Linked DNA regions of Caenorhabditis elegans. The gene in region 2 interacts genetically with the main gene of each other region. Each region holds a gene or a part of one and is shown on either strand. Other genes may lie near its edges.

The links.
Region 1: of sym-3 (region 2) and fbn-1, changing one enhances a phenotype caused by changing the other (phenotypic enhancement), as found in Caenorhabditis elegans (one study listed by BioGRID).

What each region holds. Positions count from the first base shown.
Region 1 is NC_003281.10:7,623,756-7,628,665, reverse strand, and holds the start of fbn-1 (EGF-like domain-containing protein), read right to left. Parts: upstream 3,281-4,910; coding exon 3,205-3,280; intron 2,725-3,204; exon of another isoform or gene 2,673-2,724; intron 2,455-2,672; coding exon 2,352-2,454; intron 1,871-2,351; coding exon 1,764-1,870; intron 1,714-1,763; coding exon 1,376-1,713; intron 1,081-1,375; coding exon 792-1,080; intron 578-791; coding exon 344-577; intron 295-343; coding exon 1-294.
Region 2 is NC_003284.9:5,774,313-5,779,654, reverse strand, and holds sym-3 (C2 NT-type domain-containing protein), read right to left. Parts: upstream 3,405-5,342; 5' UTR 3,370-3,404; coding exon 3,322-3,369; intron 3,245-3,321; coding exon 3,143-3,244; intron 2,696-3,142; coding exon 2,582-2,695; intron 2,436-2,581; coding exon 2,239-2,435; coding exon of another isoform or gene 2,223-2,238; exon of another isoform or gene 2,195-2,222; intron 2,193-2,194; coding exon 2,062-2,192; intron 1,565-2,061; coding exon 1,426-1,564; intron 1,221-1,425; coding exon 1,034-1,220; 3' UTR 777-1,033; downstream 1-776. Other genes in the region: sft-4 (Surfeit locus protein 4 homolog), read left to right, coding at 202-346.

The DNA.
Region 1 (4,910 bases), on a different chromosome or scaffold from region 2:
GTTCTCCGGTTGTTGTGAAGTCTGCTCCGTGGCTAGAAATAGTGGAAGAATCCGATGAAAACGCCTGATCTGTGCACTCGGCTTCAGTAGATCCATGTTGGCAACATTTGAATCCACCGAATAGATTGACACAACGATCTCCGACTCCACCACAAACCGAGTCATTCTCCACACATTCATTGATATCGACGCATTTTTTGTGTGGGTCTCCACGGAAACCATCGATGCAAGCACAAGTTGCATTGGAGCAAATTGCGTTGTCACCACATCCTCCAGAGCAAAATGCTCCCTGGTCTGAAACTTATGAGCTTACTTAAAGTAATTTGGGCAAAATGTAACTCACCTTTAATACATGTGGCGTCATCTTGTCCATTTTTGCAACAAACGTATCCTCCGTCCAAATTCAAGCATCTTCCGCCATCTGAGCATGGTGTATCTTTGGCATCACATTCATTAATATCGTGACATGTGATTCCATCTCCTGTGTATCCAGTTTTACAGTCACAGATGTCTAGGACAATGTGACAAGATGCGTGTCTATCACAGATTGCAGAGTTTTTACGGCAAGACGATTTTGCTGAAATGGTGGAAATTATATATTTAGGTAAATCAGTGCTGTTAAAACGCATAATTTTTCATTCTTTGTCTTAGCTTTCTGAAATTTATTTCGTATTTACCCTCACGTTCTCGCAAAAATTAAAAAGTTGCTAGAAGTGCAAGAATGTGCGACGAATGTACAACCAAAATATTTCAAAATTTACAGGGTAGTTTGACGGAATGCCCACACTTACGTTGACAATTCTTTCCATCTCCTTCAAAACCTTCCTCGCATTCACATTCATATCCACCAATAGTATTGACACAATCAGCACGTACATCGCATTTATGAAGTTTCTCAGATCCACATTCATTTACATCTTCACACTTTCCATCAATTAGCTCATACCCGGGAGAGCATTTATTGACACATTTGAATGATCCAATTGAGTTTTCGCAGATTTCGTCTGCGTCGCAGTTATGGGCTCCAGTCTCACATTCGTTGATATCTGCGCATTTGTCAAGACCAGATCCCTGGTTTCCCTGGAAATTAGGATTTTATACTTTTTGATCCCACAAAGTTTGGTCTTTTTTCGAAGTCACAAAATCATTCTAAATTCAAATTTTGTAACTTTGCTCGATACTTTCCCACCCATTTGACACTTTGTTCTCTTCAATCATCCATGAAATTGAATTTATATATATATATATACATATATGGCATGACTAAAGTGGAAGAATTCCAAGTCTCATTTCTCAAGTTTTCAAGTACTTGTTTTTCGAATTTTTAGATTAAAAATAGATTCTTATGTTTGTGATAATTATGGCAAAAGCCTACTTTTGGTGTGAACCCTTGTGTGCAATTACAGTAGTAAGTTCCAGGCAGGTTGATACATTTAGAATGTTCTGGGCATCTAGATGTAAGTTTATCTGAGCATTCATCAATATCAGTACATTCGTGTCCATTTCCTTCATATCCTGGCAGACACCGACACTCATAGGATCCCAACGTGTTTTGACATTGAGCCATCATATGGCAAGGATGCTCCAAACATTCATTCTTATCTTGAAGCTCACAAGCTGAACCAGAGAATCCGGAATCACAATAGCATTGAGGTTTGGCTCCATCGTAGAGACACGCTCCTTTCCCACTACATGTTGACTGGCATTTGTGTTCTGAAAGAAAATTGATTGGAAACCTGCACTTTGAAAAAAAAAAGGCTAACCACAATAAGGGAAAACTTCATCGTGCATAGCAGGATTCACAAAACAATCTTGTTTTCCATCGCATAAAGAGCTCATGTTATGAATATGCAGGTCTGTTGGATCGGAGCTGAAAATTCAAAATTTTAAACCAGTTTTTTGTCCTTTTTCTCTCCTTGATCCCACAAAGTTTGGTCTTTTTTCGAGGTCACAAAATCATTCTAAATTCAAATTTTGCAACTTTGCTCGATATTCTCCCACCCATTTGACACTTTGTTCTTTTCAATCATCCATGAAATTGATTTTTTGTGTTGCTATTCTCTCAAGGTTAACAACTCTTCGGTGTTCCAAAAAAAAGTTTATGACACCTCTGTGTCACTCTTTTGATACGCCTGTTTTCTTGCCTGATGACCCATTTGGTTTTCTTTTAATTGGCTGTTTTTGGGCACTACTGTCAGAATTCAAGAGAAATTTTAACTTAGAAATTTGGAAAACAAAGAATTGATAAACAAGATATCTCTTAAATTTTCCAGACAATCTAGTTTGGATGTTCACATCCATATAACTTGCTAGTTTAATCAGTTTAAGAATTTCAATAACTAAATGCTCACCTGTGCTGACAAATAACTGTTGATGTATCGAAATTTACAACAAATGTGGGTCGAAGATCTGGAGTTGATGAGTTCACAAAGTTTTTAGCGATTTGATGACTCCCTGAAAAAAAAAACAACTTTACTGAAACTGTTTTCTATTTTATATCTGAGCAAGTTGGATGTTTTTTAACTCTAGGTAAAATGTGAATCATGGGCAGTCTTTGAAGTGTCAAAGCTTGCGTAAAAGTTCCCAACATTTAATCTATCTGTTCCCAAATACCAATTGTTCATGTCATGTCATTTTTCTTAACCAACAACACACAAGACCACCGCAATTCCAATCATCAAACATGTTGTTTCCCGCCGTCATAAATGGGTCAGTGATGACCTTGGCAGGCTGGATACAGGCGGCACCGGGGCACCTCCGCTCTCGCCCCAAAAAGTAACCGAAAAAGTGAGATGGAAGATGAAGTAGTGGGTACAACTACTTGTAAAAACGGAAGATCAAGAAAACGGTTGAATGACACATTTGTAAAAATCCATAGGTGAAGCCATATGGTTTCAGTTTTATGAGTTTGCTTTCATGGTGTTTTACTAGGTGGGCTGTAGATCAAAGGTAAAAGATTTTGAAACAAAACGTCGAGTTCATGAAGCTTTTGGTAAAATTTGTTGGTTATCTAGTTCTAATTTTTGGATCTGCATCACTTACTGTGAATTAAATCCCCAAATGTCAGATACTAGTGTTCAATGTGCTCTTAGCGTAGCTTTTTGCTCAAGATTTTTTGGCAAGTTTTTAGCTAAGCTTGACCCAAATTAGAAATTTTTTATCCCCGTATTAAACCCGTATTATGTAATATTTTCAAACCAATACCTCTGCACAGGGCTAGTAGCACCAACGGGGTGATGAACCATGGTGAGGAGCAGGAGCCCCGGCTCCTCGTAGACATTCCTGCAAAATTCAATTTTCAACAAGTCTGCACTTTTTCCTGTCAAATTGCACTTTCGAAGAAGAAAGATGACTATCAATTAGAAAAACACGCGGCGAAAGGAAACGGGAGAGAGAAAAAGATAGAACTTAAAAAACGATATATGTAAATGGGAGTGTGATACCTACCGAAAAGGTGATGGAACTGTAATTGGATAAAAGTTGAAAAATGGAATCTGATTATTCCAATAGCAGAGATAAGGTATTTGATGGGTAAGTGCGTATGCTGTGTCTATGAAAATAAAAGTACAAAGAGCAAATTGACCTAGATATGATAACTAAAATCTGACAGGCATACGTTTTTGTCTTTAAATATTCTTATACAAATTATTACCCGGTCGAGGCGTTATAGAGGTGTCTTTCACACGCCTTTTCTTTAGATTTTATAAGGGCGAGAGCCGATAAGGACAAGAGCTGGGCTTGAACTGCGAGTCCAATCAAACCACATAATCATATTGTTGAGCATGATTTGAAACGTACAAAAAATACGAGATATGAACCGTAAGAGTAGCTGCCAGGGTGAAGCAATAAGGCGGAAAATGGTATCTAACGCCTTCCCGGGTTCTTTGATTACCGTTTCTGCATCAAAGTAAAGATTAAATTTTTCATTCGATAAACATCCAGAAGATCTTGGAAGCCTAAAACAATTCAAAGATCTTGTTTGAATTCTATCGATCTAGAGTTTAATCTACATAGATTAATCTCAGTTTTCAGAACACAGTTCTATCGTTTTTACAGTTCATTAAAACTAGCTTGTTCATTAATCCAATGAGCTGTTCAAAATCAAGAACCTGTGAGTGGGCAGCTCACACTAAATTAGGCTTTGTAGATTTGTCACAGATTGTTAGTGATACATATAAAAAATCATTAGAAAAATTAATTTTAGGTCAAATTATTTTGAGATGAAAAAATGTTCTGAATCTTCAAACATAATGCCTAGAGCATAAAAGTTTTCGAAGTGCACACGCCTACAGATGCAAGTACATATAACTGAATTGTTTGACCCTTACACTTTCCGACCATCTTTCTCTTTTTGAACCTTTTAAACTAACAAAACACATGCAAAACTCAGTTGCAAAAACTACGAGGATCACGCACCAAACTCTCTCCACGCCTCAAAATTTTCTTCATGCATTTCCGTTCGGTTCCGTTCAAAACACTTGAGATTGAGTAGTAATAGTAGATGTGGGGGGATTCCACGGACTACACTGCTTAATGGGGTTACGGTCTCATTCTTCTTTGCATGTGCAAATAGTGGAATAAACACATCTTTTCTGGGATGGATAGACGCAACAACCAAAACACGAAGATTAAAAAGTTTAGACTGTGCAATTTTTTTTGGAAGAGAGATTATTTTTAAGTTTCGACCGGCAACCAACTTTTAATCACCGGAGAGGATCAAAGATAAGCTTGAACTAATAAATTATTAGAATTGTACATTTAATATTCAAGCTTTATAAGTGAATGTGATCTAAAAGTGTTGAGCTCCAAATTTTGAAACTTTGAGCATTAAATTGGGAATATCCTACCTCCTTATTTAAAAACTTTGGGCTTCGAATCTGCCATTTTGATATAGGAGTTTTTTTTCAAAC
Region 2 (5,342 bases):
GGAAAATTAAAAAGTATAGAAAAATGACGTCACAACTGTATTGAAATACACAAAACTTGTATTTTAATACAGCTGTGACGTCAAAAATGTATTAAAATACATTTCGCAAAATTACTTGAATAACCACTTTAATCAAAACAAAAAAACCAATTATAACAATTTGACGCTTGATTAACCATAATTGAAACATTGATTTTTCAGGTGGACCATTCCTTCCGACCGCTTCTACAGAGACTTCATGAAGTACGATTTCTTCCAAACCATGTCCGTCATTGGAGGACTTCTCCTTGTCATTGCCTACGGACCAGGAGGAGTGTCAGTCGATGACTACAAGAAAAGATGGTAGATACCCCATTAACACCAGTACTTATACGCATTTCTATGTCAAATCATTGCATTACACTCACTCACCCCGATAAATTTACCTGGATTGTTTATATAATTTATGAATCTGTTTCGATTTTTTCGATATTTCCTTTAATCAATATATTTAGAGTAGAACGTTTTCCCTCGGTTTCCCATCCAATGCTTCTTGTCGTAATGTTACAACTTCATATCTATTTCCTTTTATTTTTTTTTGTCATTTTCTTCCTTTCCCTAAAACTTCATGGACTATATGGGTTGTTTTCCAATGAAACTCTCCCTACAAACTTCTATTTTTCTCACACGAATCACAACTAAAACAGTCATTTTTCCACCACTTTCCTTTACTTTCTAATCGGCCTATCCCAATTTTCTTCTGGTAGTTTTGTTCCCGTAAAGAATAAACATTTTTCTGTCAGACAATCATTTTATTTGTTAAAGTTTTCTAATCACCCGAACAGTGAAAATAATTTAGCTGCTTGAAAAAGAAGACCCATTGGTAATACAATCAAAATAGAATTAACATGAGACGAAGAAACCGTATATCAAAAACCAGAAAGTGCTTGTAAGATGAAAAAGGCAGTCATCAAAATGATGCACATAGTTTCAAAGTAAATAAGTAGTAGAAATAAGAAAATTTTCGAATTTAGAACAAAACGGGAAAATTTTTTCACGCATCATTGAAATGTTCAGCCACATAAGACGTCCGTTTCACGGGTTGACGTGGATTGACAAGTGGCTTTCCATGTTTATCCAAGAATTTCTCGAGCACCAAGCCTCCGCTGTTACTCTCCACTTCATCTTCCGATATTCGACATTCGGCAATGATTTTGTCAATCACGTTGTCTGCATCGAATCTGAAAATGATTGAAAAATTAGGAAAAGAAATGCTCAGAATCAATATTTGACCAATTTTCAATTATTTTTATGGGACTCAATTCAAACATGAAACAGTAGAGTAGAGGAATTTGGGTCATTTCACTAATCTTCTTAACATGAATCAAAAAGGTCAAACTCGCCATGACTCTTTTTTTTTAATGTTTCAAAAAAGTTTCACCTTACCTGGAGTGTTGAATTTTTTGAGCAGATCGATCTTGACTAAATCGTCGTAGTTGGCAGGTTGGATGTTGTGGTGGATGTATTACTCGTCGTTCGACAACTGGTTCGTCGACTTGCGAGTTGCTAGCGGCGGATGAACTTTCTGAATAATTTTGGTCAAATTTTCACAAAAAAAGGAATTTGAACAAAACAGTTGTATTGTTTTATCATTCAACACGTAAATAAATTATAATCTCACTGTTGTTGAATTTTAGGCTCAGAATGCGTCGGGGAAATTATTGAAACTGACATTATGGGTCTCATAATTTAATATTTATAACATAAAAACAAGTAAAAATGTATTAAGTTTGAGGAGATAATTTCAAACTTCCGCGGGAGTCAATTGTTAACGTTTTAAGCGTCAGTTGCCAATTTATTTGTTTTCTTTAATTTAATAGTATTTTCAGACATATATAATTTTAACAGACTGCAATGATATGAAAAGCTTTTTGCAACTGCTAACGGAATACTCATGTATTTTTAAGTGAAATAGAGAGTGTTTTCAGTTTTACGTGAACTCCTCACATCTACAGCTCCTGCATTAAGCAAAAATAGAAATAACCTTAGAGTACATCGATTCACGAATCTCGAAATAATTACCTAGAACATCTACATTGGAAAGCTTCGGATGAGACGATGTTCCTTCTTCGGAATCAGTTTCATCGTCTGCTCGAAAACCATCTTGATCAATAGCTCCATCTTGTCGTGGACCGAACGTTGACAGGCGAGGCCTAAAGTAATCATGTTCATTAAACGGAAAATTATATGTGAACATACACTCTGAAGAATGGGTCTGCACTTTGATGTGTCATTGCAACTTTGATGCACACTTTGGAGTTATCCAATCTTTGATTGCTAGTGTAGCCGTTTAAAAGATAGGTCCTCGAGATTCCTTCAACACCGGAAGCTGCATATTCGGAGAGGTTGATATCGACAAAACCGAGCTTGTAATACGATTTTCCTCCTTTTTGTTCCTGAAAATGGGATAAAAGTTGAAGATAAATGGGGAATAAGTTTAGAATGTTGTTTTTTTAAATGAAAATTTGTATTTTTAAATAAACATTATTTCATATTGTGAGTATATTTTAGTAACCCCAATTTATTTCCAAATTCTCCTTACTTTTCTTATAGAAACTCGGCACAGACACTTTTCCAGTGTTCCCGAAGTTTGATCACATGGAATCCGACAGCAGAATACAAATCGTGTGTTGAATGAGGCGCTATGGTTTTTCACCTGAATTAAATAAATTTTCACTATGGCTATTTAAAAAAAAAGAAGTAACCGATAAATCATTTTGATCTTATTACACTCAAATAGGACGTAAATAACACAACAAAACTTCACAGAACCTTTCTCGATTTTTTGTGGATGTTTAAAATCGAATTTTAGCTAAAACTCTAATTTTGACCATTTTTTTCGTGTCACAGCGACCGAAGATATGTTTTATTTCGTAATAGTATTCTTTACCGCTGGGACTCAGATGTTGACAAAAATAGAGATTTTAGCTAAAATTAGATAGTGTTGGAAATTTTGAATTGCGATAATGAAATTTTCGAGTAACGTTTGAGTAGTCTCGTTACAAATCCCGATTTTTCTACCATTTGAAATATAATAAAATACAAATCTTTATCGGATACTCCTGATTTAATGAATGAGTGAATTTTTAAATAAAAAACCTACTTCAACTCGTTCCGTAGCTTCTTCAAACGATCCTCCATCTAGTAACCGCATTTTTCCAAAAACAGTGGCATTCACTAGTGGAACATCTGATAGTTGACATACCTGAAAATTTTATAAATTAATTTATATAAATTATATAAAGTTTACATTATATTTAAAAAAAACAAATCTTAACTCACTTGTAAATCCACTGAAAACTTGACTGTTTTCCGCTTGATGAAAGCCATTTTATTCCATAACCATGGCACGAAGACGAGCTTTGCTGAAATGAAATTCATTGTTGATTACAATAAAAATGAAAGTTAATTGTTAAAAATTTGTTATCAGCTACGCTATGTTGCGTGCTGTGCCGCAATAAAAGCAAATTTTATCTTTTTGGTTAATAAATTTCATGATTAAAATTGGTTCAACAAAAAAGTGATACAAAACGCGGTAAACTGTGCATTAAAATTCAAAACCCGCGGCATTTTTTTCTGACAAAATAAAAAAACAGAAATAAAACACCAAGCGCAGATCGAGAAATGCGCCAGCAGCACACTGGGTCGATGTTTTTTTTTAGGAAAAGGGAGACACATTGAAAAGGAGGACATATGGATGGACAACGGGACGGAGAGACACGTCGAGATTCGAGACGTCGACAGCAGATGGCAGCGAGAGGGGCTAAATGTTGCCCACGGAGACCTATTTGTGTTACATGAGGATTTTTGGAGAGACTACGTGAGCTGAACAAGTAATTAGTCAATGCGTCAGGGAAAAAGAAAGGCAGCTCCGATAGAATAATTCATAGAACATTTTCTCAAAGAAAACTAACTAGCCAGTAGATTTTAATCAAAAACTATGTTGTTTTAAACAACACTTGTAAATTTTGAAGTCTTTACTGAAGAGATTGACAACAATAAAATCAATGATTTTAACGAAAAACATGCAATAGAAGTAGATTGGTAGTTTTTTTTCGTTATTTTGGCATTATTTTCGTAATTTTTAAAATATCAATATAAAAATTTGAAGCCATAGGTTTTTCAACATTTAAATTAGGGAAAAGCTTCAACATTTCAATTAGAGGGGGTGCTATAGAAGTTGGACGCACTGTAAAATTGGAACATTTTTGTAGGGTTATTTCGCTATAATATCTGTTCGTAACAGAACAAAATTGATGAAACAAAACATTGGAACACAATTGACGTTTGCAAAAACCAGAATACATGTGTTTCACAGAGAAAGACCATATTTATTTTGTCACTTTGTAATTTTAAAAAGTATTACAATGTTGTATATTCTCTAATAAAGTTGGAGTACGGGCAATGCTAAAGCGGAATTTTTTTTATTTTGAGTTTCTCAAGAAATCTAAAGCACTGCCGTGTGTCCTAACCTCTACGATGTCGGAATATACAACTTTCCCAGATAATTTAACCATGAAACTGGAAAAAATACTCTTTTGAAAAAAGTGGTGAAACGTTTTTCCTGTTTTTTGACTCGAAAAAAAACACATGTTATGATATTTAATCATAGTTTCTCATCGTTTCCCCACTTGCGTTTTTCATCTTTTATTTGCAATAAAGTGCAATTATGACTTTATAAAATAAATAAACAACGCGTTCTTTTTAGGCCTCTACTGCTAAATGAGTAATGTTATACAATTCCAACAGTTAAAAAAATTCTGGGGCAAAATCAATTTTTTAACTCAGAAAATCTATTTAAGAGCCGACGTGCATAAGTGGTAGCATAAGAGCTAAACAATTTTACGCCACACTGATAATGAAAATATAAAACTTGATTTTTGTGGGAAGCGAGTTTTTTTTAAATTAAAAGTGCATTTCAAAAACATTTTTTTGTTTTAATTTCATATTTTAGAAAATAATTGTTTTTTGTAAAAATTAGTACTATTTTTTACCTTTCATGGAATATCTTGTATTACAATACAAAATTTTCAAGCTCAAATTCAATTCAGTTGTACAAAAATTCTGATCATTTTTTTATCTGATCTAACACTTGATGGATTAGTTTTGAAAGTTCTAGACGACCTTTGAAAATTCAAACTGTTTCTCAACAACAGTTCTGTTTTCAAATGTAGTCAAACATCACTTTTTAGAAATCACATACCTGAATGTTTTTTTGTGAAAATGCATATTTAAGTAGTCTTACCAACAAGCATAGTTTAGCTTTAAATAAATGCTTTGAATCTTTGAATCTGAGCGAAACA